Lonchura striata: one gene and its partners. The protein of the gene in region 1 interacts with the protein of each later gene in a pairwise test. Links are inferred from orthologs where the notes say so. Each region holds a gene or a part of one and is shown in the gene's direction. Other genes may lie near its edges.

Region 1 (10,481 bases):
ATTGAATTTTGGTACTAAATATTCACATACATTCAGAATAAGGCAAACCAAATCTTTAGTACCAAAGATTCCAATGCCAGCCATAGTACTTGGCCTACATGAAGCTCTCCAACTTACACATGTAACTTAGCTAGCAATTTAATTAGGTCAATGATAATGATTAGATGAGTATCATCTACTTGTGAAATTAATTTGATGAGATAAACACTGATGAAGCCTTATCACCTCCCCAAACAGTACTAAAGTGCATTTCTGCTATGCTCCTTCACCAACACTCTTAGCTGCATCTGAATAAAGTACTGAATATTCTAACAAACTAGATCTTCTAAGTGCTCTACAGCTTTCATCACCTGAGATTTCTTGCAACAAATAGCATGCTTTTGGGGTGGGGGGGGGGGGGGGGGGTGTCTGTCTTGATGGAAAAAGAATCTTTACAGGTTCTCCTTCACTCTATCTCATCACAAAGATCTTAAAAAGAGGTTGAGACTTATTTATATGAACAGCTGTATGCACCAAAGGAAAATTGTTTTCACACTGAGAAAGCTTTCATAACTCTATGGAAAAAGGTTGATTCTACCAAGAACTGGCCTTCACCCTCCTACTGAAAAAAGAGAATCGAGGCAGAATATTACTAGAAACTCTTTTAATTTTTCAGATTTTCAAGCTTTTGGAATATTAATTCAAGACTGAACATCCCTTTTCTATGAAAAAATATACAATGACAGAAACAAACGCACCCACTACAATGAACATATGAAGTAGTGATTATAATCAACATAGAGTTCTTACTCAACATAGAGTTCTTACCTGAATGCACCATCTCCCTCGGGATTAGGTGCTGTAATGTGGCAAGCATCACCGGACAGTCCATAACCCAAAACTTCTGCATAGATCCTAGCACTTCTTTGTAGGGCATGTCCATACTCTTCCAAGACCAGCACAGCAGCACCCTCTCCCATTACAAACCCCTCCCTCTGCGAATCAAAGGGTCGACACGCTGTTTTGGGGCTCGAGTTAAAACTCGTGCTGAGGGCCCGGGCTCTTGCAAATCCAGCCAAAGACAAAGGACTAATGCAAGCCTCAGTCCCTCCAGCCAACATGACATCAGCATCACCAGCAGCAATGAATCTAAAGGAGTCTCCAACTGCATGTGCACCTGTGGTACAAGCAGTCGACACAGCATGATTTGGCCCTTTCAGTTGGTATTTAATGCTGATATGGCCTGCTGCCATATTGACTAAAATCTTTGGAACAAAAAATGGGCTGACCTTATTGTAACCCTTTGTTTTAAATAAGGCAGCTGTGTCAGAGATTTCTTCCAGTGGAACCATTCCCATCCCAATTGCCACACCAGCAGTCAAGCGGTCCTCTTCAGACTGGGGAGACCAGCCAGAGTCCTTCATTGCAAGCTCTGCGGCACCGATGGCCATCACAGTGGCAGAACTCATGGACTTGATCTCTGACTTTGACACAAAGTTTTCTTCACTGAACTCACCCTCCTTGTTTCCCCTTGGCACACACGCAGCCACTCTACATGGGATGCCTGCATATTCTTCCCCATCTAGTGATGTAATCCCACTGCCTCCTTCCAGAAGGTGCTTCCACACAAACTGAGTCCCCACACCAAGAGGGGACACTAAGCCAATACCTGTAACAACTACTTTCCTTCGACATGAAGGCAGTGACTTGCTGAAAGCCCTTCTGTGGTTTTGTAAATGTAGATTTAAATTCAGACTCCGAAGATGAAGATTTGCAATCTTTAACAGATCCTGTGAGCACTGTGAGAACATGGTGGCAATAATCAGGCACATTCCTGTAAACGGAGAGGGGTGGAGGGGGTTGGGAAAGACAAACACAACAGTAAAGCAGACTGTATGGAAAACATTCCAAGAACATTAAATGAATAACCTGCTTTTTACATGACACCCTGAAAGAATGACTGAAGAAAGGGATATAGTTTCTGTGTCTGTGTATGAATTACAACAGATAATGGCAAAGAAATGTTCACTTTAGGAATGCCTCTAGTGAGCTCATTTAGCTTAAGCTGCTGATGAATATGACTTTGCACCACTGTGGACTGTGAAGCACTCTCTGGTTTTACTGCAAAATTTCCCCAGGAGCTTTAACCACAGCTGGCTGGAGGCAGAAACAATGAGCATTAACAGATTCATTCTTCTAAGGGAAAAAGTATGGCCCACAATTAACAAGTTGAGGATATTGTCATCTGAACCTTCATGTCAGGCAGAACGGTCTAGAAACCTCAAACAGGAGTCAATAAACTTGTTCTGGTTCTGCTACTAATGTAATTACACACCTAGGACAAGACTCCCTGTCTTTCCACCTCCACCTATATCAGCCTCAAGTTATTACACTGTCAGGGGACAGTATCTCAAGTAGCTTGAGCAAGATGTGGAGCACAGCACCACCTCCATTGAAGGCAACCCCAACAAGAGGCAACAAGAGGCACAGCAAGTGATGGCAGAAGGCCTCTGCTGAGAACAAGTACTTGAGGAAAGACCAGAGGACTATGCCAAGCAGTAATGCTGCTGTACTGTGCTGTAGTCCCTTTTCCTTGCCTTGGCTACTGCCAGTCCAGAGCCAGCCTGATTGCACACATCTGACATGCTGGAGCAGGGCAGAGGCTGCAGTACAGCTCTGCCAACACCTACAAGGCAGGCTTCAATAGCTTGCCTGCTTTTTGTTTTGTCCAAAGAGTAACTTGGCATCCCCAGCTCTTTGGTGAAATGGAGAGAGCTGTATGAAGACCATAAGGAGCTGCTGGGTACTCATGCTAAAATATCCAGACCTGTGCACAGCAGCATTACTAAAAAATGTCATGGAACCATAGAAAAGCCTGGGTTGGAAGGCACCTTAAAGATCATCTCATTCCAACAATCCCTAACACGGGCACAGACACCTTTCACTAGACCAGGCAGTGGAGACCTGCATCCAGCCTGGCCAAGAACACTTGGGGTAGGGAATAAAAACAGTAAACAACCATATATTATATTTTATACATTATATTTTATACAGTGCCTTTTATACATATCTTATATATTATATTTATACATATTTTATGCAATTATTAAACTTAATTATTAAGAAAATATTTTTAAAGGAGTCACTTTTAAATCCTGGCCCAAAATTTCCAAGTCACTTACCCTCTATAAAAGAGGTAGTGTGTGTGTATACGTGTATAAAAATATCATAGTATGTATTATATAATGCAAATCACATATATAAATATATAAAGAATATTATATATTCTATATCTAAGACAGAATATAAAACACCTCTGCAGTCATATTAAATGCATATTTATGGAGCATAGTGTATAACATATATATGGTTTATAGATACACTATACGATGTATATTGTATAGCATATACAATGTGTACGATAATGTATTTTATACACATTACTATACATATATATAATGTATGATAGCGTATTTTATCAGTGTATATATATACATACATATATACATATTTATACATACATATACATATATATACATACATACATATATATATATACATATATAAAATATGACTGCAGAGCTCTGTAAGGCAGCGCGTCCCGCAGCCTTTACTGAAATGCCGCCAGCCGGCGCCGAGCCGTCCTGTCCGACCCAACAACGCCCGATACCTGCTGTGCGGGAAAACCAGGCGCAGGATAATATCCCCGGGGAACAAGTGCTACCAAACACCCCAGACGTTTTTAACGTGTAAACCAGGAGTTAAACCCCGGCACCACAAGAAAACCCGGCGCCGCCATTGCCGGCCGGGCCCGCCCCACCCCGCTGGGAGCGGCGTCCCCCCGGCCCGTGCTGAAGCCCGCCTCCCCCCGCCCCAGCCCCCAGCGGCGCCCCGCCGGCCGCGCTCCCCCCGCTCCGCGATGGTTCGTTCTACCTCCCTCTCACGTTCCGACGGCGGGAGGCCGCACCACTCCGCAGGCGCGGGGGGAAGGGAGGAGGTGCGCGGGTAGGCGCGGCCCGCGGTGGCTCCTCCCGCCTGGCCCCGCCCGCGGGCGCCGGTGTGGGCGGGCGGCGTGATCGTCCGAACGGCCCCGACACCGAGAAAAGGCGGTGAAGTAATTTCCTTCTCAAGCCACGTGTTTGCAAAGGAGGAGTAAAAAAAATTACAAAAAAAACAAAACACAAAAAGCCCAAAAACCAAACCAAAACAACAAAAAGAACCAAACCAAACCAAAAACCAAAAACAGCCCAAAAGCCTTTAAACAAACACTCCGGTTTGTCTAAGACCTTATCCCAGACAGGCTACCATGGCAGATCATAAAATGTTTGTCCAAGTCTCATCAACAAAGACATGAATTAGTTACAGTGTGAGTTTACTTGTTTGGTAATACTTTATTTAATTTTAGTAAGCAGCAGTGCAAAAACTGAAATAAATTTACCCCCGCACAACACAATAATGTTTATTAGCTGCAAATACAGCTACCTAAAAATACAAACTGTAGCCCAGTAATGAGGCATGCACTGCAGGAAAAAGAAGAGGAATAAAGCCAAAAAGGAGAAAGCCCCCCAATATTTAATAAAGAAAAAAGGAATTTGTGTGTACTTTCTTTTAAATAAAGAGTCTGTTTTTAATTTGGAAATAAAATTCCTTTGGCATTTAATATGTTAGCAATTTTTTGGAAGTTGGCACTTGGTTTTCTAAATTTTTCACACTGCTTGCCTATGAGCACTCCCAAAGCATTGTTTACAAATGCTATACTGAGATGCATTATGTATTTATATGCATACATGTATCGCAATATAGTTAATCTTTGTATTTCTGAAGGCAGCCAACATTGAGAGTCACATGTCTACAAGTAACACATGGAAAGGAAATTAAAAGCTGAAGTAGAAGCCAAGGAACATGGCATAATTTTAAACTAAAATTTTGTTACTTTGGTACCAGTTCAATGATCCTGAGGGATGAAATAGTAACATTTTAACTATGCTAGTGGGAATAATAAATGTAATCTCAGCAAAAGTGAACTGCCCTGTGTTAACTTTCAGCTTTTGTGAGGGATACACATACCACTATCTTAAACAGTCATAGAAGCTGAGCAGTGACCTGTCAGAGGCAGGCAGCAGAGCCATACTGTAGTATCACCTACAAAATCAGAAAGCAGCTTGGATTGTAAAGACTTCTCTTGCTTGGAACTCTTTAAATCTGCATTCTTAATAAAGCAAGGTTCTTCGCCACAGTTCTTTCAGTAGCGGCACAAATTGGACGTCTAGAAGAAGAAGACCAGGGGTTTTTGCCTCTGTGGGATGGACTTTGGGTAGTGCAAGGCAGATGTTGTAGCCGGGGCAAGTCGCTGCAGTGACATTCCTGCTCAGGCAACCCTGTAAGCCTGTAGGTGTGGCACCCTCAGTACTATCAAACCAGGGAGTACAAAAGGAGATTTATGTCCTCAGTGATGTTACTGCCTACCAAGGGGCTCCTGATGTTCCAAAAACATGGAACAGGTAAACATTTTCTTAAGAAATTATGTTGTTTGATATTTGTATACTTTCAAGCCAAATCGACCAGAAAGAAGATTTAATCAAGTTCTAAGTTATGTCCAGGTGTTAGAAAGACAAATTGCTTGTTGTCAGAATTGCATTTTTAGGGCTTCACATGTTTCAGTGAAATCACACATCAAAGAGGTGGAGGTTTACAAAGTTTAGGAAGAAGGATGTACTACTGTCAGTGGGCACAAAGAATGAAGAATTTATTGGACACAAGGAGATTAGGCAGAACTCCCAAGACAAGGAAGAAACCAGCAAAGCCAACTCAGCAGCAGTGCTGGGATCAGCTCTGGCTGGACAGAAGGTAATTCTGGCAGGGCAAGCTTGCAACCATTGAGAGAAAAAAAATGAGCATGTGGACTAATCAGCGTAAGAGGGGAATCATTTGACCAACAGAAGATAGCATGTTTATTAATAAGAGAACTGTGTAACTTGTATCCAGTGGACGTGAATGCCTTTATTTGCTAAAATGTATAAATAGTGATAAATTTCGGTAGCTATCGTGCCGTCTTTGCGCAGCCCTTTCTGCGCAGATCTAGAAATAAATCAAAAACCTCGCCCCTGCGCGTGGATCGGCGCCTTGCACACCGTGTGGAGGAAGCTGCTTCGGGACACAGGTCCCGGTGTGGCCGGGAGGTGCCGCCCAGACCAGCACTGAACCCTTCACGGCCTCCCCGCAATGCGCCGCCCGGAGCCGCGGGGCCGCGCCCGGTGACGCCCCAGCTCCCACTGCGCATGCGCCCAGCGGCAGGCGGCGCTGCCCGGCTGAGGGCGGTGACCTCGGTACTCGCGCGGCGCATGCGCGGGGCGCAGCGCCGGGGGCGGGCAGCGATGGCGGCCGCGCTGGGGCTCGAGTCCTCGCCGGGCTCCGCCGCCGTGAGCGAGCTGTGCCAGAACAGGCGGGAGATCTTCCTGGAGGCCTCGCGGCTGCTCCTCACTTACGCCGACAACATCCTCCGGTGAGCGGGGCCGCCGCCCTCGGTCCGCGGGCGGTGCCGCAGGGTCCCCCCGGCCGCTCCCGGCTCCGCGCGGCGCCTTCGGTTCTGTTGTGTAATACCGGAGTTCAGAAGCGTCTCGCGTGGTTTTGTCGTTATTTTTAATTTAATGCTGCTTACCTAGAGGTGTAGTGTTCTGTATTTCTGTTTCTTTATTGCTGGTTGGTTTGTTTTGTAAGTTTAAGAGTTTGTTCACAACATGCTGCCTTGTTCCTGATCATCCACCTTAGGTGGGTGTTGAACTACCTAAAAACAAGTGGTGCACAGCAAGGAATTTAACTTGATTTTAACTTAATTTTATTTTTTATTCTATTTTTCGCTTGCCCTATGCTTCTGACTTCGCAAGGTTGGTACCAAGAGTTAATTACAGCTGGATTTCTGCGAGGTGGCTCTGTAGGATGCACATACACGCTAGTACATGTGATTGACCTTGATATCTTCCAGCAACTCGAGGTGTATGGGCTGCCCCTCCCTGTCTATATCTGGCTTGTCTTTTACAAGCTTTTACCTCTTGTAAAAGCTGCTGTGTGACAGAGAATGGCGAGTCCGGGCCTGGCTTCATTTAAAGGAAGAGGTGAAAGAAAAGAGTTTTAAAAGAGTTGAAAGAGCACCTCTCTGTGCTACTGAGACCCAGTCGTTTCACTCAAGTACCAGGAAGATTAGCATAGCTTCTATAGTGGGACCAAAGCCATCCAGTATTAACCTGACGTGTTCAATTAGAATGCACCAGGTACAGGGAGATGTGAAGTTGTCTCTAAGTGTCACTTAGCCCTGCTGGGTATAACTACAACATGAATTCATGAACATAAGTTGCAAGCTAAACTTTAACACTAGTTGGTAACTCAAAGCTAAGTACAAAAAGACATTTATAAAGTCAAAGTTTTATGTTGGTTTTGCTGAAGTGACATAAATGAATCTAAAATTAAAAAAAAAAAAAACTTTCATAGTGCAGTTGCACAGCTTTTAAGTGTCTACTTCATTTGCAAATATAATTATAACTTTCAATTTGTTCAGGAATCCCTATGAGGAAAAATACAGATTAATTCGGATTGGAAATCCAGCATTTTCCACAAGGCTGTTGCCCGTCAGAGGAGCAGTTGAATGTTTATTTGAGATGGGATTTCAAGAGGTGAGTATAATGTAGTAACTAAAGGTGTCTGCCAGTTTACATAGTAAAATTTAAAATTGCAATTTTTTTTCTACTTCTCTAGTTGCAAGGCAGCAGTACATTTTAGGGCAGTTGGTATTTTCTTTCAGTCCTTGTCTGCCAATATCTGTAGCTAGCCAGCAGAGAACTTAGATGTGGCTGCTTCAGAAAAATGATGAGCTAACGTAATGCTTAACAAGATTTTTTTTTTAGCTGCTCAGGCACTGCTGGTTTACTGAATGGCTGGGTTCATATCCATGCTGGCACAAAGGACGTAGTGGGAAGCAAGGTGGAAAATCCTTTTCTTTGTAGTAATCTGCTGTTTGGTGAACATCAGACATTATAAATGGGTGTTGAAACTACCATTTTAAAGAGAGAAAAAAAATAAAAGCCCTGCTCTTCTTCATATTCCTACCATTAGTAGATCCCTGTAGTGATTTAGGTAAGGGAAGCTGATCTGATGAAAACTTAATCTTTCAAAACAAAACCAGAAATGTTTTTCAGCCAATTCACAGTGCAGCTGCACAAGTACTGGTGTTGTCATGGCAGCAGTGAAGGGCAATAGACTGACTGTTCAAGTAGTAGTAGGAGGGTGAGTCCTTCAAAACCCATTTTTAAAACTTATGGAACATTATCCTAAAATAATGTTGAGTGAATCTTGATTCTGTTGCAGTCAGAAGGATTCATTTCAAAGATTGCTTTGTGTTCTGAAGTGGTCCCTGTCTTGGTGGAACTTAAACTGCCAAAGATTGTTAAACTAGAAGCAGTTTTTATAATAGCTGGAAAGCTGGTCTGAAAACCCAGCTCTTGTTTAACAGTGCAAAGTTCTTGTTTTGCTTTAATTTGTCTCTTTGATGCCACACTTCTGTATGGGTTTGTACATGATGTTACTTAGGTCCAGCTGTCATGAGACCTCTGCCTTCTCTTTGGGTAAATTTAATTACTGTAATGTTTTAATTAGAAGAAAAAGTATGCTGAAAGAAGTGGTGACTACGGAGAGAGAAATGGTCTGTGGATGTATTCTCATGCTGGTGCTCAGGAGGCTTTTAATTGTGCATTTTAGCCAGGAGGTGGGCAGTGTAGGTGGGGGCAGGTCTCTCAGAGTGTGTTGCCTCGGTCTTATGGTTATTGTGTCAGTCAAAGGTGTGGAGCTCACAAACTTCTCTTCAACTGCATGGCTGATATTGTTCCTTCTTTTGTTTCTGCTTGATAATGGATTGATACATTCTTTTGAGTTTTGTGGTGATTTTAAGTGTTAACACAAAGCCTCCATCTGCTGTGATATGTGACCTCAAGTAACTGTAGGTAAACAAATCACCTTATAAATAGAAGTGCTGCAGTGGTAGAAACTGAAACTGTTAAAGGATGAATGTTTCAGGATATTCATGTTTTTAGTAACCTGTTCCTGTATGGTAATTACACAGATATTTGATTTGATTATGTCATAATTACTGATCTCTTGTTATACTACCAGTAATTATGTTGCAGTTCAAAAATAAAACCCAGAAATCAACCCAGGTACCAGTTGTAATAAGGATAATATTGCCTATCTGAAAACTTAAAACTTCAACATAAAAGATACCATTATGTAAGAGAATTTCCAGCAGATGCTGTTGGGACTTCTTCCCTCAACATTGGATGTCTTCCTGTGTTGCCTAGGATTTCATTGCTGTACTGTGAGAACTGAGCATTAATTGTTCATTTCTGTTGTTGCTGCTTTCTGTGCCAAACCATAATGACATAGCCCACAAATGTCTCCACAGAATAAGCTACTAACAAAAGCATGCTGTTATGAGCCCTCTTTCTCTAGATTGACTCTAGCTTCTTTATCTGGTAGGCTTCTGAAGCTGTGAGAGGCTTCAAGCTTTTACTGTAAGGGATCTAATCTAAAAGGTTGAATCCTGCCAAGCCTTAGGATGCTAACTTCCAGTAAACTCAGCTACAGCTACAGATCATTGACCAGCTTCGACCTGCATTAACTGCTGAATTAATTTGTCTAAATTTCAGGGAGAAACTCACCTGGTTTTCCCTAAGGAAGCTTCAATTGAGCAACTACGTAAAATCAGAGACTTAATTGCTGGAGAGAGGAGTAGCAGACTGAATGAGTCAAACCAAATCCACAGATCAGGAGCCTCTGAAACTGTCAGCAGCACTCAGACAGCTGCACAACGGCCTTCGAGACCTGTTGACTCTGTTTTTGCCCCTGCCCGTCAGCGACCAGAAACATCACTTGTGCAGTCTCTTGAAATGGTAATTATAATTTGTGAACTTCATATGCTCGTTAGTCTTGCATATAAGTATTGAAGAAGAGTTAACTGTTAGGACAAGTTGCTCAGAGAAAATAAGTAGAGTCCAAATAAGCACACTATTAAGCCTAGAGCAGCTTGATTTGACCACATAGCTAATCTTGCTTTAAGAAGGTTGGACTAGACATTTTTTCCCCACTGCTTTCTGAAGGCTTTTGAGTATTTTCTTCAGTTTACATAGAACTTAAGCATGAAATGTGCTCTAAACAGAATGTTAGCAAGAGATTTTGTTGAAGATGTCCATGAATATTCTGTTGATCAGGGAGTCAAGAAAAAAAGCTCATACGTATTGAAAAGGAACAGCAGGATGGGGAACAAGGGGGAGAGTGAGAAGCTAAGACTAGGGTTGTGTTTGGTGTTTGAGAGCCAACAGAGGAAAAGAAGCATAACCGTAATGCTTATAATTGTTGATGTCTTGGTTCATGCATTATGATCTCTATGTATAGCCTGTGAGGAGGCTTTCTTTTTTCACGTGTGTGTCATTAAAAACAGAAATTTAGCCAGACAAGGA
Region 2 (9,966 bases), about 80 Mb from region 1:
TGTATCTTTCTGAGCATTGCTCTGCAACTAGGATCATTATTTAAATAGAAAAACAACAACAGATAGAATTGTAGTGGTTTCCAAAAGAACTGGGGACTTAATTAAATATTATACAACTCAGTGCAAATAATGGGAAAGTAAGTATGAGAACTGTGTGTAATTCTACTTACAAGAAACAGAAATTTAACAAATCCATGCACTACAATTACCACTAGCAAATTAAAGAACAAATTAGTATTTCCTGGAGTTAAATTCCTTGTCATGTGTTACTTGAACTTTAACTATTGTTTCCTAAAATTTCACCTTAACTTATGGTAAAGTTCTGCTCTGACAGACAGGAGGAAAAAACAAAAATCAAGGACAACTGATGCTCTCCCCAGCAGCACAACCATAAGACACTTGTATAAAGAGGACTTTCTGGGAAATATGCTTTTCTTTGAATAAGTTACAGGGTAAATTATCCCATTTCAGATAAGAAGTTAAAGTGGTAGGGACGTTATTCTATGCAGAGAGTATTTCTCTAGGAATTCTTTTTCAAGTGCCTGCCATACAATTCAACATTTCAGGCATGTCTCTTTATGTTTGCAGTACTACAAAAGTATTCATGCAGGTGAGAACTATATTGAAGATAAAGAAACCATCTCAACTTGACCTATAGTTCACCAGTAGCATTTTGTCAAAACTTCTGAGAATTTCCATGACTGCCATGTAATGTATTTTTGGCCTACTTGCCTGAACCAGCAGGGGAACAGAATGTGGTATATTGTCTTTTTGTTCTCTGTGTATATAGAACTTAGACCTGTGTGGCACTGGTACTCAGCTACAGCTCGCAGCCTTCACAGCAGTAAGATGTCAATATTTAAAATTAGAAAGTGATGTGTAATGGTATCAGCCGTAAGGAAATGTTGGCTTTAAAGCTGAGCCCGCGGATCCTGCTTACTTGTTGTATCAGCACCACCTGCTGGTACCTCACATATTTTCCATTGTAATGCTGGCAGGAAGTTTTTTCTCTTAACATTTAATTTAAGCTCCAAAAATATTTGAGGAGGCGTCAGAAAGAAAGATTGTTGTTTCCTAATCTCTTTGGAGACCCCACCGAACAATTTATACTCACGTTATTTCATCTAAGGAGTACAAAGAAAGAGGTTTATCCAAATATCTTAAATCCTAAATTGGGCAAACCCTGCTCTGAAACCAATAGAAAGGATCCAGGGAGTTGACTCCTGGTTCACATATTTTTTTCACATGTTATCTAGCTCATCATATTTTGGAACTGAAACAAAATTAGATTCATCAGTACAGTGAATGATTCTGAACAGATTTGTACACACACTATGATTCACCTGTTGAGACATTTCTAAAGGAGGATTCATCTCACCTAACACAGTCACATCCAGGAATATGTTTCCAATTCAGCTGAGTGCATCTTTTATTTTTAGCTGACAGAATATATCACTATTTTTATGTTATTTTGAACTCAGATCATACTTCCTTTTTGCTAGATAGTCATATCTACAAAATAGATGCCCAAGTGAAGTGGAGATATCTTATTCATGCATTGGAAAAGAGAAACATAAGGATAATGAAGTCTGTTCATTTTTCTGGGAAGCAGTCAGCCATACATTCAGCTCTGGACAAGACTCAGCAGATGATGTCCATAATCCAAGTGAAGGGTCAAAATAGGTGTCTAAGTGACATGGCAGGGGAGAGGGGCCATTGCAGTGCAAGGGTACTGGGGACACAAAAATGCTAGTGGCACTTACAGGAGAGGCTGGAGGTTCTAAAATGGCCTTAGGGAGGACACAAAGGAAGAAGCTGATATTTTAGCTTGGAATTGGGGAGACATATAATGGGAGGGATATAAAGGGAGAAATAGAAATACAGAATGCAGGATACAGATTTGTAGGTATTTGGCTTCCTCCTGTTCAATATGTCTATTTTTCCAGCTTCTCCCACAGCAGAAGCAGTGGAAGATCTTTTGCAGACCCACCACCTGTAGGCTTGCTCTCACATCGATGTAAATATATCCTCACTGCTTTTCCTCATCAAGATGCTTTCCTACTGCAGTCTCATATATCTGGTTTGCAGCAGTTGCTGCACTACAGACCAATTGTCAAACCTCTGAAAGCTTAATCTTTGTACTATGCCTCTGCACCCATTAATTCCCCTGAGTGAGGCAAGGGCGTGGCTACTGGAGCATCAAAATGAATTAAACATACATTAGCACTGGCAGAATTAATTAAAATATCCTGATTTTCAGAGCATCTGCTGGAAAAGTGGAAAGGTTTGATCTCAAAATAGCCTTAAAAATGCAATAAAATATTTACCTCATTTTTTATTTCATATGTATTGTATACAGAAGGTTTGTCTGATATCCTCAAAGCCCGCTGTTGCCTTCTGTGTGTTCTTGAACCCTTTGCTCACAGAGTGTGAACTGCAAGGTTGTCAGGGATCTTAATGACTTGTACTTTCTTTCCAAAGGTATTGAAGTGATCAGTCTCATTTGTTCACTGTAACTGGAAGTAGTTCTGCCTTGTATGCTATACCTGAAGCTATAGTTTTGGAGTAGGTTTTTGGTTTGATTGATGGGGGTTTTTTGTTTTGTTTTGTTTTGTTTTCTTGGTTTTTTTCTTGTTTCTGTCCTCTCTTAATCTTTCATTTTATTCTACTGTTTAGGCTTTGATAGAAAACTGCCATGTGCAATTCTTATCAAGTAAAAGCCAAATACTTGTCATTTATAGATCCCATAACTGAATGATACATTATTAAATCTTCATCATCCTAGATAAATATGTGTTTCATATTTATCATCCTAGATAAATATGTTTCATCACAGACAGGAAATGCTGTCTGTGATGAAACATTTGGAGACAACCAAAGTGAGCAGGGAAATGAAGACACTGTTGCTCTTTTGCAGTTATTGTAATACAAAGTTTGTAACAAAACCCAATACAAATTGCAGAGGTAGGTCAAAGTAATTCTAGGCTGAAATGATGATGAAATAGCAGATCTCCACAGCAACAAAAAGCCTATTTTAACACACTGAGTTTAAGAACTGTAATGTTTTAGAAATTAGAAATGCGTGTAGATTTTTAACAGACTATGTTCTATTTATTTTGGTGTTTGGTGGTGATTTTATTTTTTTAATACAAATATGAATCTCTCTGCCCCTAAGAAATTTCCTTTAATTTATCTTACAATGTTATCAGTTGCAAAACAGCTGGTACATTGTGACCATAGGCCATGACAACCCATTGTGTTCACCCCAAGCCTTTTCTTGTTCCTAAATTATTTTCTGTGGGAAATTTCCCTCTAACACAGTTTACTTCACAACCACAAAGCACAGATGTCCTCTTCCTTATTGCATTCTTCCCTTTCCAACACAAGCTTCATGGAACTGAAGCTCATGGAGAAGCAATATCATCAGGGAATTCCCTGTTTCTCACTAGTCACAAAACCAGTTTTAAAGAGCTATGCATTTTTGGAAAATACAAGCAAATTAATTTAAATACATATGCTATGTCAGCACTTACTCATTTGCTTCTTGGGTAAGAGAGATACATGTTCTGTAATCTAGAATATATAATAGGGGCTTCTGAAGTTCATTTAAAAGTTTTTGTCTTACTTATCTGCATTCTCTGCACTGTAGCATGGAAATTTTTTTTCACTCTATGTATATACTTTTTATGTATTATTTTATTTTTACTTGTGTTTTTATGTTTGTTTCTGGATAGCACCAACACTGTAGTGAAATTTTGGGAAAAACAACATTACCAAAAAGAAGATTGTAAATGCTGCTAGTTTTAGTCTCTAGGAGGAAAATATCTAGAATGTTGAAGTGTATTTTAGACATAAATAAAAATACAGTATCAAATTTAATTAAAGAACTAGAGGTTGTAATTAGCTGTTTTAAATCTATAGCTGTGTCAGAAAACATTGGTCACAAGAATGATGTTATGCAAATTAAAATGGATGCTTGGGTTGCACATATTTAAATTTCTAGATATCTGTGACAATATAAATTTCACTGAGAAAATAATTATGTGCTGATCTGTATTCAGGTGATCTCTTGAAATGTTGTTGACACCTTAAGCAGACGAGGCAATCACAAAGACAGACAGGAATTATGCCAATGTTTAGGGAAGATATGCCTGTCAAAATATGGAACACCAAATTATAAAAAACTGATTTTGTAATAAAGTTATTTGGCTTTTACAGTGATTACAGTTTAGACATCCTCACTGCTAATTTGGTCTCCATCACCACAGGACATTTGGACTTAGACAGAAGCTGCACACCACATATCAACCCAAGGAAGGCTGAATGAAATAATATGACTAAAGCTTTGTGCTTGGTATAGTCCTCATGCCAATGCTTCAAGTACAGAAACCAGCTGAGGGAAGTTCCTACTTCTATTCAGGTTCCATTTTTTCCTAAATCAAGCATAGAGTTCTTTGCAAGCATATGCCCTCAGCATATAAAGTTGCGAATGTGGGAGCTACATGAAATGTATTATATATGCAATGTTATATAAATATGTATACATAGAATATATCTCCTCAGTGATGTCATTCTTCTTTGTCAAGCACACAATATAGTTCTGTAGGAAAAAAAAACCCAATCATTCATATCTACATACTCCATAAGAACAATATTGTCACCAGTGTAGAGACCAGTGTCACCACTGTCACCATTGACCCTTGAGATGGAGCTGGGTACCAGATAATATTTTTTCCTGCACTGTTTTTATGCTGGGACAGACTGCTCTGTCTGCATTCTCACTGAGAGTTTGGCTGACTATGAAGGCATGAAGCACACAGTTTAACAGTCCAGCTTAAAGAGTTCTATGAGATTCCAGCTCCCTTTGGCACAATTACCAGTGTTTCTGGACTGTAATCCAGTGTCAAGAGGGTCTGGAGAGATTGATTAGAAAGCAGAGGGTGTTTGAGCTGAGCAGCCCTAGAGAAAACTGAGGATGGCAAGAGTTCCTCATCCTGTCTAGGCTGGAGTTGATTTTCCATAAGTGCTATGTTTTGGATTTGTGACTGAAAGCCAGTGTTGGTAACACAATGGTGCCTTGACTATTGTTGAGCAGGGCTCGCACAGCACCAAGGCCTTTTCTGCTTCTCACCCTGCCCCACCAGTGAGCAGGCTGGAGGAACACAAGGAGCCTGGAAGGCACACAGACAAATCATCTGAACCTGGACACCCCATAACATATGGCATCATGCTAAGTTTTAAGGAAAAGACAAGACACTCCCAAGATTAAAGGTCTGTCTGGACAAGAGCCACCAGGAGTGAAGTCAGCAGAAGTAACCGGGGGAAAGAGAAGGATCCTGAGGAGAGCAACAAAGCTGGTGAAGGGTCTGGAGCACAAGTCCTGTGAGGAGTAGCTGAGGGAGCTGGGGTTGTTTAGACTGAAGGAAAGGACTCAGGGGTGACCTTATGACTCTCTACAACTCTCTGAAAGGAGGTTGTAGCCAGGTGGGAGTTGGCCACTTCCCCCCAGCAACAGGATGAGATAATGTAGTCTTAAACTGAGGCAGGGGAGCTTTAAGTTGGACGTTAGGAAGAATTTCTTCACAGAAAGGGGGTTAAAACATTGGAATGGGCTGCCCAGGGAGGTGGCGAAGGGTTGGATGTGACACTCAGTGCCATAGTCTAGTTGACATGGTAGTGTTTGGTCACAGGTTGGACTGGATGATTTCAGAGGTCTGTTCCAGCCTATTTGATTCTGTGATAGGCAATTCCGGCAGTGGGCGACCGCAACCACCAACTCAAAATGGAGGGAACTGCACCTGCAGACTAAGTAGCATAAGAAGGAAGACATACAACCAGTAAGCAGGGCTTTGACTACTGATAGACAAGCTGTGCAATTCGCCGCGAATGAACGCTAAGGGCTTTGTCTGCTGAGGCCCATAAACTTTACTCCGCAAAGGTCTGACGTTCGGGCCGTGCCCCCGCGGCGGGCAGGCACGGCCCCTCCCGTTGCCATGGCGGCCGCGCCGGCGGCGCTGGCCCCGCCCCGCCCGGCGCTCGCCACCGCCTCCACAAGATGGCGGACGGCGGCGCAGCGCCCGCGCAGCCGGACGGGGATGTGCCCGCGGCTCCGGCCGCCGGCCGCAGGGACCGGCAGCCCCGGAGCACCGGCCGCCCGCCCAGCGCCCGGGATTTGCAGGTGAGGGGGCGGGCGTGCCGCCCCACTCCCGGGCGGGGCGGGGTCGGGCGGAGCGCCGCGTCCCCCCGGGGCCGCCGCAGGGCTCCCCCCGGGCCGGCCCTGAGGGCAGGGCGGTGCGCGGCTGCCCCGACTGCCCCTGAGCCCACCCGGCTTTTCTTCCTTCAGCTCCCACGCCCCTTGCAGGCTGGGAAGGGGAGCACGCCTCTGGAAGAGCACTAGGCCCTTTAGGATTGGAAAACAGGTGAAACTTAGTAACTGAAACTGTCTCTGTTCCATTTAATTACACATTATGGAAAGAGGAAGATGGGTGTAGTTTTTTTTTTCATTATTACTATTTGGAATTTTCATAGGTTCTTCTTAAGATTAATTTTGCTGCAATCATAGGATGGTTTGAGTTGGAAAGGATCTTAAAGATCATATAGTTTTAGCCCCTATGCCATAGGCATGGACACCTTTCACTAAACCATGTTGCTCAGAGCTCCATCCAACCTGACCTTCGACACTCCCAGGGATAGGGCATCCTCAGCTTCTCTGGGAAATCTTTTCTGATGCCTCACTACCCTCTGAATAAAGAATTTCTTCCTAATATCTAATCTAAATCTCTCCTCTTGTAGTTTAGAACAATTCTGCCTTGTCCTATCACTATCTACCCATATAAAAAAGTTGTTCTTCCTCTTTTTTCTAAGCCCCCTTTAAGTACAGAGAGGCCGCAGTGAGATCTCTCTGGAGTTTTCTCCAGTGTTACTGTTGTGTTATTCTCCGGGATTGCTTTTTTTTATTGTTACAACAGGTAACAGTAACAAAATCTGTGTTAATAATTCTGGTTCATAAGGTTTTGGCTAGATACTTATTGATAAAGTGTTAAACCCCAAGGAAGTACCCTCCTGGGTCTGTAGTTGATTAGCGGTGCCACATGAGACGGGATTTGAGGAAAGCACAGAAACCTGGCCATGCCCTTCCATGCTCTCTCAGCATCCCTCGATCCTTGGATTAGGGATGGTACAGGGTATGTTGTCTATGATTTACCCATCAGCTTTACATATCTGAAAGGTATTTTCTTCTATCCTCAGATGGAATAGAGGCCTTCAGCAGATTTTTTGGGGTCTCTTTCCTCAATTTAATTTTCTTAATGGATATAATTCCTCATATTTATTTTTTCCTGTAGAAAATACCTCATAATATTATAAAAACAACAAAAAATAATACGGGATTACTACCCTGTGTTCATAGCAGTTTGTTTTCAAAGGCAGATGATGTTTCATTTTATTTTAACCTGTATCCCCTCTACATAAAACTGTAATGAAACTGTAGCCTAGTACCTTTCTGGTGTGTATGATAAAATGTTAATGTCAGTCACATAGTGTGAGCAGAGTGATCTGGGGACAAAACTCAGGATGGTTTGACAAAATAGAGTCCTATTCAGTACAAAAGAAAGATTGCTGAAATTACACTGTAGGATTCTTGCATAAATTTCTAAGAATGAGCTTGCCAGTGATATGGCAGCATTTTGGGAATCTTTGTGAAAAAGTTTGTTGGGGTTTGTGTAAGTATTTGTGGAGTGATGCCTTGAATTCAAGCCAGAAAGGCTGAATTTGTTCTTCATTCCAGTACAAGCTTATTTGAATTATGTTTTTTATATTTCTGTGTAAGATGTTTGTAAAATTTATTGTTTGCTTCTATCAGAGGGTTAGATTGCTGCTTTATTTCAATTTGTTACCATTAATTAATGAGCTGATGCTTAATATCTCTGTGTGTATTTACTCTTGTGACTCTAAATCTAATACAGGTTTTACATAGCTGGTGAAGTAGTGGAAACTAACGGATAGCAGAGTTCAAGTTCCAAGTCATAGTGGCCTTTAAGCATTGTGTAGTTTTTCTTTTTTTTTTTTTTTTTCATAAAGCACAAGGGAACTTGAATTTTAGTTGGGGTTCCTCATGTTGATATTTCTACTTTCCTGGACAGATGGATATTTCACATTAATTTTTGTCTTTATTCTATTCCATATGTAGTTCTTGAGTTATAGGCTTACAAAAATGAGTTCTGTTTCCTACAGCTGGCCTTGGCAGAGTTATATGAAGATGAGGCTAAAAGACAGTCATTGTGTTCTGACAAGCCAACAGCTACAAAGATCAGTAACCCAAAGGTATCACAGAGGTAAGATGTGGGGTTTTTTTCAGAAATGCGTGTTAAAGGAGGTCAAGCAATAGAAAAGATCTTACTGACCAGTTATGCTTTGAGTTCACTGCAAATGCAGAAATCTATTCAGGAAGAGAGACTTTAGCAGAGTGTGGGACAGTTGGAAGTATAGGGTGTTTTGAGGTTTTTTTTGTAACTTTCAGTGAACCCACCTAAGCTGACTAACCACCTATACAGAACTAAGTTTACAAACAAATAAAGCAAACGGCTCCATTTACCAGTACATTTCATGAAGGTATAACTTCCTGCTCCCAACCAAAGGAGAAGCTTCAATACCATATATCAAATACTTCAGTGTGATAGTTGGCAAATACTTGTTATTTGTTGGCATTCATACTGGAATCTGCATGAGAAGGAAGAGATGAATTAGTAGACTTCAGTTAGCTCTCAGATGAGAGCAATGCATTAATTGCATGGAAGCAGTGCTGCTCTTCTATGCTAGAAGAAAATAGTTCAGTTGGACTATACCTATAGTGACCACCCAGTCCAACTGTTAATGCAAAATGACTCTGCCATACATGTGCCTTTTCCTCCTTGTTCACGGAGAAGCATTAATGGCTGTGAACTTTGACAAAAAAAACCCAAACTAAAACAAACCCAAAAAACCAAGCAACCAAAACAAAACCCCAAAAACCAGAAAACACAACTCGATATTCTTAGTTTTTGAAAAAGAAGTAATTTCAGAAGTTAGATATGAAGTTTATATGCCAGTTATCTTCAAATGCTTTCTTTTATTCTCTTGGCAGTCTTAAACTGGATTCTCTTAAAAGGTTGAGAAAACCAGAGAGAAGCATGAGTGATGACAAAGAAAACCAAAGGTATTTCTAAAACAAAACAAAAAATAATTTAACAATTGTGAAAGTAATTGGGGTTTGCATCACTTTCACACTTTGCTCCCTCATGTTCTTTCAAAATGCGTGTGAGCTAGGTCTGTCCTGCAAAGAGCTAGGGACTTATTAGAATGTTAGCTGTACACTGTTGTAAAATTATATTTAGCAGAATCTGGCTGGAGTTATGTAGGACCTGTAAATGCCTTAACCTGTATGGTCATAAAGGTTGTAACTTACACTTGTACTCAAAAACTTTTTTGTCTTTCTGAGTATCCCGAATTGTTCTTTGTATCTATTGCTCAAATACTTGAGTGCTTCCTTTCTTTCTTGAATACAAATTCTGGTAAGAATTCCTGTTTCATATCCTTACCACTATCATTCTTTTAAATCTAATAATTAAAGATTTTCCATATAAATTGTAGTTGGGGCAATAAACACAAGAGATGTACAAATGACATGTTACTCAGGGATTGACAATTATGTGGCATTATAAAAACAGTATGATTGTACAGTACTCTCATACCCAGTACTCTCTTCTGGTAATTGTAAAATATGATGAAATCAAGACATTGTAAAGACATTGGTCTAAGAAACAGTTTCACATGGATTAATTGGTTTGCCTTGCCCCAAGTGGTTAAGTGTAAAAGTTGAGGAAAGTGGAAAGCAGTTATTAGTTATTAACATTTCTTGTAATCAAAGAAAAAACAATCAGGTTTGCCAGATTTTGATTTATTTACATATTTTTACAGCATCTATTCCAA
Region 3 (10,108 bases), on another chromosome or scaffold:
CTGTTGGGGACCTTCTTCACAGCTGCCTCATAAAGTTTAGTCACCAGCTCAGCTAAACCAAAAGCAGATGCTAGAGTTAACACCAACTTGGGAATATTTTAAAGCACAGCTCCCTAAAGAGCACCAGGGATGCTCTGAACAGCAACTAATTGCACTCATCACTCCCAAAAATACTGCTCTGCCCGCCAGGCACTGCAAACATCAGGCAAAGGAGGAAAGTGCTTAAAAAAACTCTAAACAAACCTCAAAATAAACTTAAATCAAAATAGAGTTCAACAGCAGCAAATGAACTGCTCAGAGAGAATTTTAGGTCTACTTTTAAAGTAGGTTTTTCTCTATTTTTGAGCATTAAACTGAATGAAGGTTTCTCCTGCTGGCAGAATGACTGCTCCATGTGAATCATGTATCAAAACAAACACTTTCAGAGCCTAATAGCAAATTAATTATTCTTATCACAGGTTTACTCATATTAATCATATCCTGCTATCTCCCAACTGCCTATATCAGAACTCTAAACAATTATTTCATACTATACTTTTTAATAGCAGGTCTATCATGACAAAATACTTCTGATAGTACAACCTGCTAAACTTTCTTACATTTTCATCCTTCCATATTTTTTTCTTACACAAACAATTGTAGCTCAGAATAGAAGCAGAAAAGCAAACGTAATTTGCCTTTCACACAGTTTATACATCCCTGACACAGATGTAGAAAACAACTAATTACATTAATTTTCTTGCAAGACCAAAAGTGGAAGTGCCTCACACCCACCAGTTCCTGAGTTACAGACCTAAAAGTTACAAAGCTCAGCTTAATGGAAATTGTTAACAATCACAGAGAGGCTCTTGTCATTCACAGGGGTTTATGCTGAAGTCAAAAATACAGAAAAATATTGGTATTACTCAACAAATGATACTTTATCTACAAACATACATACACAAAGAAATCAACTGGGAGAACATAATTGCTCTTTTGCAGACTGATGCAAACTCCCTTTTCTGAAGCTGTTTCACCCCTTGATCGTTTCTCCAGCAGTTCACCAATAAATTTTGGTGCTATCACCCACCAAACTCCACAATAAACATTGGTACCACCACACCACACTCCCCAAGAAGCTGCCAGAAACAACAACTGTTCAAGCTGCAGAAAAGCAGGACAGGAGGTCTGGCATCTTTCAGAAAAGCACAGGAAACTTTCCTCCATCACTCCAACGCTGATGATTCAGTATTTTGAAAACACAAATCACTCCGAGGAACCTGACAAAGCTGATGTGGCCAAACTGGGAGGTGCGGATTCCCCTCCTGGTTTTCACCACTTTCCTGAGGCCTGAACCCCTCAACTACATCACACCTTGTGGGATTTGTCATCTCTGTCACTCTACTGGCAACAAATTCCAGTAGTTTCATCAATAAATGTGAACTCCCAGGTGTGGATCATTATCAACACGCTTCACTTAGGAGCTGCTACACAACTGAGTTCAGAACAAGCCTGAATGAGGATTCTTTTGCTTTATGAAAATCACTCCAGCCTTACAGGCATTACAACAGGATCACTTCAATTCTGAGTCTCTTAACAGTCTCTCACATACACAAATCCTGGATTTTACACTTTTCCCACCAAACTGTGGGGCACAAACCTTCCGGAAGAACACAACTAGAGATTTCTGGGAGAGGAACAAACTCACGTCTGTGCATTTCCCGGTAGAGAATGGTCAGTGCTTGCAAGGAATTATCATCTGTGGGTTCAAGTGCTGCTACTTCTTGTGCCAGGGCATAGGCTTCATCCTGCTTGCCAGTCCTCTGCAAGCCAATGGCCTTCAGCACCTGTGGACACAACACAGGCAGCTCTCAGAGACACAGTCTGCATTTGGAAACCCTCTCGCTCCTGCTGGGAACAGCCCAAGCACCTCATTCCCTCTGCACAACTCCAGGATTTATTAATCTTTTAATCCATATGGCTGGACAGGAAAACTCCCAAATGCAACAGCATCAAAGAGGGGATCTGACTTCTTAATAAATGCTGAGGTTGCCCCGAGGTATCATCACATAATTTCTCTACCTGGAAGCTGTAAACTGACCTGTCCTGGCAATTTTCCTTAGTTTTCTTTCACTAACTGGCCAGAGAGAAGTGACATAAACGAGAATCAGGTCAATGACACTCTCTGCAGCTTGGGAAGCTTTCAAAATGTAGAAGTGGAGTGAACTGCAGCAGGAAACCCCCAGGGAAATGAGAAAAGCAGAAAGAGTCACACGTTCAGAAAAGGGAGGAACAGAATCCCTTTCCCTCAACAGGGTCACAGCGAGGAAGGTGGACAAGGAAAACAGCAAATGCCTCCAAAATCATGGAATCCTGGAGTGCTCTGGGTTGGAAGGGACCTTAAAATCATCCAGCTCCATTTTTCATGGACCAAGTCTCCCCAAATTGGCCTTGAACAATTCCAGGGATGGGGCATCCACAGCTTCTCTGGGACACCTGTAATGTCTTCCTCAGACATTTCCTCCCAAGGAGATGTTTTGATCCAAACTCCCGCAGATGGCTATCCCAACCCCAGAACTCCAAGAAGCATTTTTAAATCCCAGCCCATGTGCCAAGGTCACCTGGAGTGGTGCTGACAATCAGCCCAGGTGGAACCAACACTCCAGTCCCTATCAGGTCATTTCCAGGCAAACAAGATGAGCTGGAACAGAGACATTCCAGAGGGCTCAGAAATCACTGTGGAAGCTCCCGGAGAAAGGGACAGTGGAACACCCCGAGACTCAGGCAGAACGAGCTCAGTGTCCCCCAGTCCCACTCACCTTGGCACAGTGAAGGTCCTTGTGCTTTTTGAGCAGTTTATCTGCTTGCTGGATTGCCATTTTATTATTGCCATTATCGAGATAATCTGCAGAGGAAGAGCACACACAAAATCACACCAGAACACCAAGGCCATTCTGGAAAGCCACCTCCAATTTTACCATGGAGCATCAGCTGTCACACCAGCAGCAAAAACCACATTTTCCCTGTGCAGCTTCTCCTAAGCCAAACATTCAGGAAACTGTCATTTCAGGGATGAAGGATTCATCTCATTGTACTGGTTTTAGTCACTCAAACAAACAAGCTTTTGTAATTACTCCACACAGATCATTACAGCAACAAAAGAGACACATAATAGAGAGGATTCTGCAGCAACAGCTCTTTGCTGGCAGTGCAGCTCCAGTGCTTTAGCAGGAAAAGTAGAAATTAATTTGGTGTGTCTTTGGGAGACTTTCAGTGACTTTTAACAGGCAGGAAGTTAGAAACCAAATACATACACACCAGCAAAGTGGGAAACACTTGTCTACAGCATCCATACCTCACAGGCAGAGCAAACCTGTCCCCCTGGAGTACCACTACCCTTCCACCAGGCTGGTTTTGAAGGCACAATTGTGAAGCATTAGTATTTCCTAGGGAGACATCCCACTATCTCCAGACCATTTTCTCCTCTTTTAGCTCAGAATCACAACTTTCAGATTGATCTTCACATCATTACACAATTACAAACAAGCAGTTTTAGACCAGGACACAACCCCTATATGCTCCCCTTCCCTCAAAAATCTCTCTTTCCTCAGCTAACCCAACTTTGCTGCCCCTCATGTGCCAAGGGAAGGAAGGGGCTGCTCACACTGCTCTGAGCTCTCTCCTGCCAGTTACCTGAAATTACATCACACACCTTTACCTCGCCAAACCTGTCATTCCCATTATGAGCCAGAACTTTTTTACTGAGGGTAATCCTCAGCACGAATTGTGCATCTATTCTGATTCACAGATTTCTGTTAAACAGCTCCCACATTTGCTCCTGTGGCCAGGTGGATGTTGCATATTTAAAGCAGAGTTAATTGGGCTCTTGAGCCCATCCACAGCAAACCTCTCACTAGTCAGCCTTTCCACACTCACCAAAATAAACACTGTGGCATGAAATCCAGTTTGAAGCCACAAATTTCAACTTAGGAAACCTCTGTGGAACCTCTAACATTAAAACTTTGGGGATTTCTCAGTGAAGAGGTTTCAAAGGTGTGGAACAGCACATCAGAGGCTTCTTGCTTTAAGGCTCTGTCACCCAGCTTAGTGACACACAAATTATCCCTCATGCTGAGCTGCCTGACTGGGATTAACAGCTGTGCCAAGAACATCTCAGCTTTGGGTGTTCCAAAGTAAATCAAATAACCCTCAAACCTCCCAAAAACACAGCAGAATGAAGAGACTGTATTTTCCTAACGAGTCAGGTTTCTGGAAGTCAAAGCAGCTTCCAAAGGAAATGAAGCTAAATGAAAATAAATTTCAGCCAGCGCTAGTTCATAGGTGGGGATGTTCAAAGGCTGGAAATGCACCACCTGAACCTTCAGGTGAAGGGAGAAATGTCAAGATCAAAGAGAACCAGAGCTGTCGAGGAATCCCGGGGAACCACTGCACAAACCCAGGCACACCTTGAAATCCAGAGGCAGACCTTGGGCCTCACAGTGCACCTCCCCAGCTGCTGAGGAGGGGAAGTTGTGTGCGTTTATCACACGCTTTATTTTGGTTTCTGCAGCACCACAGCCTGAGAGCAAATCTTGCACTGCAGAGAATCCTTCCCAGAACGAGCAGAAAGGAATTCTAAAGCTCTCTCCAAAATGAACGCAGCGAGATGCTCAACATCACCTGCTTTGGTATCAGCTGAATTTACTCAGCTTTTTATATTAGAACCATTTCTTACACAGGTTACGACAAGAACAACTGTACGTCAATGAAACTGCCAATCACAACACGGATGGAAAACTAAGGGGGGAAAAAACCTTAAAATCGTTACATAAAGACAAACGAACTTGAACACCTCTAATCGAACAAACCCATCTTGCTCCCTTCCCCTGGAACCCACCACGGACTCAGCCTGTACTGCACCATCCCTCTGCCCCAGCAAAGGACATCCCAAAGCACGTCCAGCCCCAAACCAGGGCAGCTCTCCACGGTTTCCATCCCTGCTGAAAAAGTTAAGAACGCTTTCCTCAATCTCTATCAAATCTTCAGTTCTAGGGACGAAACGATACCGTAGCCCGGGGAAGCGTTTTCCTTTTATTTCTCCATATTTGCATAGAGCCAAGCTTTGCCTACAACCTCCGAAGCAACCCCAACAGCGCAGAACACCCTCGGAAACATTCGGGGGGGACACAACAACGCCGGACAACTCCCAACGACACCGTCCCCTTCTACTTCTCTCCCGCCTCCCAATTAACTCCCCCAACAGCGTCACCGCTCCGTGCCACAACATCCAACCAACACAACTCCGGGGCACCCGCGGCTGCTCCCCCGGGGGTTCACCCATGCCGGCTGCCCCGCGGCAGCGCACACAGCTCCGGCCGGGGTCACCTGGGCTGCGCTCCCCCCAGGCCGAGGGGCACCCCGGGGCGCCGCGGGACCCCGGCCCGGCCGGGCGGGCGCAGCCCCGCGGGGCCGGAGCGCGGCAGGGCGGCAGGGGGGCTCGGGGGGCGGCGGCGGGGCGCGGGGTCCGTACCGTAGATGGGCCGCAGCCGGCGGTCGTTGGGGTCCTGCACATGGCCCCGCGCCGCCATGATGAGAGCGCAGAACGCAGCGCGCAGCCGCGGCCGGGGGCGGGCAACGGCGGGCGGGGCGGGGCGGGCACCGGCACCGGCACCGGCACCGACACCGGCACCGGCACCGGCACCGACACCGGCTCCGACACCGGCTCCGACACCGACACCGACACCGACACCGACACCGGCACCGGCACCGGCACCGACACCGACACCGGCTCCGACACCGGCACCGGCGCCGGCACCGGCACCGGCACCGACACCGGCTCCGGCACCGACACCGACACCGGCACCGGCACCGGCACCGGCACCGGCACCGGCTCCGACACCGGCACCGACACCGGCACCGGCAACGGCACCGGCACCGACACCGGCACCGGCACCGGCACCGACCTGATCTCACCCGACCCGACCGACTCGGAGATCGCCACCCGCTCCCTCAGCAGGCCGGCACACCCGCGCCTGGCGCCCCCCGAGCGGTCCCCGCAGGGCCGCGCTGTCGCTCTCGCCGGTGCCGCCCCCGGTCGGAGGCGGCGGCGGGTGGCCCGGTGCCCGGGGCTGTGAGGGGAGCGGGCACCGCACGGAGCCATGGCCATCGCGGCCGTGCCCGCCGCCGAGTCCCGCCTCTGTGGCAACTGGTGAGCGCGGGGTCGGTGAGGGACAGCCCGGGGTCGGTGAGGGACAGCCCGGGGTCGCTGAGGGACAGCCCGGGGTCGGTGAGGGACAGCCCGGGGTCGGTGAGGGCCGGGATCGGTGAGGGCCGGGCCGGGGTCGCTGAGGGGCAGCCCGGGGTCGGTGAGGGGCAGCCCGGGGTCGGTGAGGGACAGCCCGGGGTCGCTGAGGGCCAGGGTCGGTGAGGGGCAGCCCGGGGTCGGTGAGGGACAGCCCGGGGTCGGTGAGGGCCGGGCCGGGGTCGGTGAGGGACAGCCCGGGTCGGTGAGGGACAGCCCGGGGTCGGTGAGGGACAGCCCGGGGTCGCTGAGGGCCAGGGTCGGTGAGGGGCAGCCCGGGGTCGGTGAGGGACAGCCCGGGGTCGGTGAGGGCCGGGCCGGGGTCGGTGAGGGACAGCCCGGGTCGGTGAGGGACAGCCCGGGGTCGGTGAGGGCCGGGCCGGGGTCGGTGAGGGACAGCCCGGGTCGGTGAGGGACAGCCCGGGGTCGGTGAGGGCCGGGCCGGGGTCGGTGAGGGACAGCCCGGGGTCGGTGAGGGCCGGGCCGGGGTCGCTGAGGGTCGCACTCGCTGAGGGCCGAGCCGACCCCGCCGGCACATCGGGGTGCAGCTCCTTGGAAGGCGGAGAAACACCGGAGACGACCGTAGGGCCTTTCCCGTAAGCGCCAGGGCGTCGCGTTTCCCTTCTGATTTAGTAGGGAACTGAAATAGAAACCGAAACATTCGGATGGAAATCCAGGCTCGCTTTTCAGTGGGGCCCGCGCAAAATACACGATTCCAAGTTTTTTCTTCAGCGGTTCCGCGGCTCAGGAGGAGAAACGCGAAAATAGGATCAGTAGGCAGTGTTGTCAGTGTTGTTGTGGAAGTTTTTTTCTTTGATTACTCCTTTCTGCAGAGCCCAGTGGCTGGTAAGGAGTCACTTCACAAGTTGTGTGTTGAATTCAAGCAGATAAAGAAATAAACTTTTTTTGTAGTTGTTTCTCCCCAAGAGACATGAGAATCCAGACATTTTCTTGCAACATAAGCCTGGTTTGTTTGGTCAGTCGCTGCTGTTGGACTTCGTTGCTTTGCCAGGCTTTTGGCTGCCTGGCATCTGGCAGGGGACAGAAAAGCTGTGGTTTTAGCAAACAAAAGGTTATAAAATTAATTTAGGTGTTTTCAAGGTGGATTTCTTGGAAAGGGCATGATCCGTGTAGAAATTATGCTGTGTGTTTGAGGCGGGAGTAAGGACTGAGCTCCAGGTGCCTCAGTTCCTTTTGGTCTTTTTGTGTTTGGGTTCAAGACAGAAAACGAGCATATTAAAAATGTGGCGAATTGGGGAATTTTGGAGCAAAATGAGGCGAGTTGGGGAGTTTTGGGGTGCAGAGGAGTGTTGTTACTGCTGGGGCTCTGAGCAGCCTGGTCTGTGGAGGTGTCCCTGTGAGCTTTAAGGTCCCTTCCCACCCAAACCATTCCATGGTTCCATTATCTTGGAACAGGATCTGTCAGGCATAAAAAAGGCACTGTTTGCTTTCCAAAGCACTGTTTGACCTCTCAGAGCCAAGTTACTTTCAGGAAGAAACTTTTATCTTCTCAGACTAATTTATTAACTTGATCCCTGGTGATTACTTGTTTGTGCTGCAAGATTTCCCTTTCACATAAGGAAATAAATCCACCTGGATTTTATCTGAATGCAATGTGACTTTTGCATGTTAAATACATTAATAGCCACCTGTGCTGGAAACCTGAGGCCTGGCTGGGCCTTTTTCTAATCACTTTTAGCCGTGAATTCATTGAAATCTTTCTTAGCATTATCTTTTTGTTGTGAACAACTTTTTGTATTTGTTGTCAGTTTGTTTCTGCTCAGTAACCTCTAGCAATTTTCTCACAGCAAAAAGGATATTCCTGCAGTCAATTTCATCATCCATGAAATCCACTGTAGAAGAAATATTGAAATATGCCCCTACTGCAGCGACTCCATCCCAAAGTCTGAGATGAAGAACCACATTGATTCTGAACATGTGCAGGTGAGAGACATCTCTGCTCTGAAGCTGCCATTTCTGTGGAAATTCCCCTAATGAGGTCTCTTTGCTGTAGGTCACCTGCAAATGTAGGATGAAGATGGAAAGCAGCCTCCTAAAGGACCACGAGGTTGGTGGATTTTATATTCTTGAACCCTTGGGGGATGCTCTGGTGTTTCACTGATTCCAGAGCCTTTGGATGCCAGCATCCAGGTTTGTACATCCTTTTGTTGAGTGATGCTTCCTGAACTCACACCCTCTGGGAGAAGGGATTGGAAACTGCCCTAAAGTCCTGGAGCCTCTCAGGGCTTCATATCAGAGGGGTATCTGTGGTAATTGGTGAGTTTTTTGTCCTTGTCAGTTGAAAAATAGCTATTTAAAGTATGATTGACTTGACTTTTTTTCATTCCTTTACTGTTTCATGTTTCTCCTGAAGCCATTATGTGACTTCTAATAACTCAATCTGTCCAAACAGGCTTTAAAAATAGCCCGTAAAATAAACTAAAATAGGCCAGAGTGGGATTTTCTGAGTTCTGAATCCAGTTGGCTGCTGTCACAGACAATCTTGTTATAAATGTTATCCCTTCCTGTGGGCTCCTTTAGAGACAACTCTGGAGCTGCCACCTCAGCCTGCTGATTGCTGAGGAAAAAAGGATTTTCTGTGGAAATCTGTCCAGTTCTAAACCCTGGGAGTAGCTAATCCTGCATGTGGTTCTTCTGGATTATAAAGCAAATGATGATGTTTTATTAGTGCAGGTTGGTCATTAGTGCAGCATCTGCAAATATAATGTATTTAATTTAGTTTTAACCCCTTTTGAAGGGGGTTCAGTGTGGGGTGAAAAACATGTCCAAGCAGTTCTTGCTGAGCAGCAAATGAGGTGTGAGTTGGTTCCCTAAAAACGAGTGTGGATTTTAGCTGTGCTCATGGAATGCAACTGGATCTTGGGTCGTATCTAAAACCCAAGTCCAGAAATCACATCCTGAGTGTCTGAAGAGCTTCAGCTGCCCAGTTTGTGCCTCCAGCACATCACTGTTGCATTCCCACATCGTAGCTTGCTCCAGGTTCCTCCTTTGGAAGTGGCTGAGGAAATTCCCTGGGAAGAGTAACCCCGTGTGTTTTCCCAGGCGTCCTCGTGCCCCCTGCGCCCCGTGCTGTGCCAGTTCTGTGACATCCAGCTGGCCTTCAAGAAGCTGCAGGAGCACGAGCTGTACTGCGGGGCCCGGACCGAGCCCTGCGGGCGCTGCGGCCGCAACGTCCTGCGCCGGGAGCTGCCGGAGCACCCGCGGCTCTGCGGCGGCACCGCGCCGGCCCCCGCCGGGGAGCGCGGAGCCGGGAGCGGCCGGCACGGAGCAGGTACAGCAGGGGCTTGGGAAGAGCCAGAGCGGGAAAAGGAGATTTAGAGCGGCTGTGGGACACAGCTCCAGGGACAGAACCCCTAAGGACAGAATGTTAAGGGACCAGAACCACTAAAGAGAGAATGTTAAGGGACAGAACCACTAAGGACAGAATCTTAAAGGATAGAATCCCTAAAGACAGAACCTTAAGGGACAGAACCCCTAAAGGGACACAATTCCAGGGACACAACTCCTAAAAACAGAATATTAAGGGACAGAACCACTAAGGACAGAATTAAGGAACCAGAACCCTTAAAAACAGAATTTTAAGTGACCAGAACCTTTAAGGATAGACAGAATCTTAGGGGACAGAACCACTAAAGACAGAATCTTAAGGGACAGAACCCTGTAAGGGACACAACTGCAGGGACACAACTCCTAAAGACAGAACCTTAAGAGACAGAAGCCTTAAGAACAGACAGAATCTTAAGGGACAGAACCACTAAGGACAGAATCTTAACCAGAACCCTTAAAAACAGACTCTTAAGGGACCAG

Evidence for each region.
Region 2: the proteins of NGLY1 (region 1) and UBXN2B interact in binary tests that used the Homo sapiens proteins (3 or more experiments, as listed by UniProt). The two-hybrid records come from large-scale screens. The link is inferred for Lonchura striata from reciprocal best matches to the Homo sapiens genes NGLY1 and UBXN2B.
Region 3: the proteins of NGLY1 (region 1) and TRAFD1 interact in binary tests that used the Homo sapiens proteins (3 or more experiments, as listed by UniProt). The two-hybrid records come from large-scale screens. The link is inferred for Lonchura striata from reciprocal best matches to the Homo sapiens genes NGLY1 and TRAFD1.

Annotation. Positions count from the first base shown.
Region 1 is NC_134603.1:118,029,213-118,039,693, forward strand, and holds the start of NGLY1 (peptide-N(4)-(N-acetyl-beta-glucosaminyl)asparagine amidase), read left to right. Parts: upstream 1-6,320; coding exon 6,321-6,481; intron 6,482-7,531; coding exon 7,532-7,646; intron 7,647-9,671; coding exon 9,672-9,914; intron 9,915-10,481. Other genes in the region: OXSM (3-oxoacyl-[acyl-carrier-protein] synthase, mitochondrial), read right to left, coding at 808-1,811. UniProt on the Homo sapiens protein: Specifically deglycosylates the denatured form of N-linked glycoproteins in the cytoplasm and assists their proteasome-mediated degradation. Cleaves the beta-aspartyl-glucosamine (GlcNAc) of the glycan and the amide side chain of Asn, converting Asn to Asp.
Region 2 is NC_134603.1:38,210,739-38,220,704, reverse strand, and holds the start of UBXN2B (UBX domain-containing protein 2B), read left to right. Parts: upstream 1-6,055; coding exon 6,056-6,178; intron 6,179-8,232; coding exon 8,233-8,333; intron 8,334-9,121; coding exon 9,122-9,193; intron 9,194-9,966. UniProt on the Homo sapiens protein: Adapter protein required for Golgi and endoplasmic reticulum biogenesis. Involved in Golgi and endoplasmic reticulum maintenance during interphase and in their reassembly at the end of mitosis.
Region 3 is NC_134620.1:11,682,168-11,692,275, reverse strand, and holds the start of TRAFD1 (TRAF-type zinc finger domain-containing protein 1), read left to right. Parts: upstream 1-5,607; 5' UTR 5,608-6,137; coding exon 6,138-6,187; intron 6,188-8,088; coding exon 8,089-8,224; intron 8,225-8,294; coding exon 8,295-8,348; intron 8,349-9,343; coding exon 9,344-9,572; intron 9,573-10,108. Other genes in the region: NAA25 (N-alpha-acetyltransferase 25, NatB auxiliary subunit), read right to left, coding at 1-52, 1,688-1,826, 2,799-2,884, 5,510-5,567. UniProt on the Homo sapiens protein: Negative feedback regulator that controls excessive innate immune responses. Regulates both Toll-like receptor 4 (TLR4) and DDX58/RIG1-like helicases (RLH) pathways.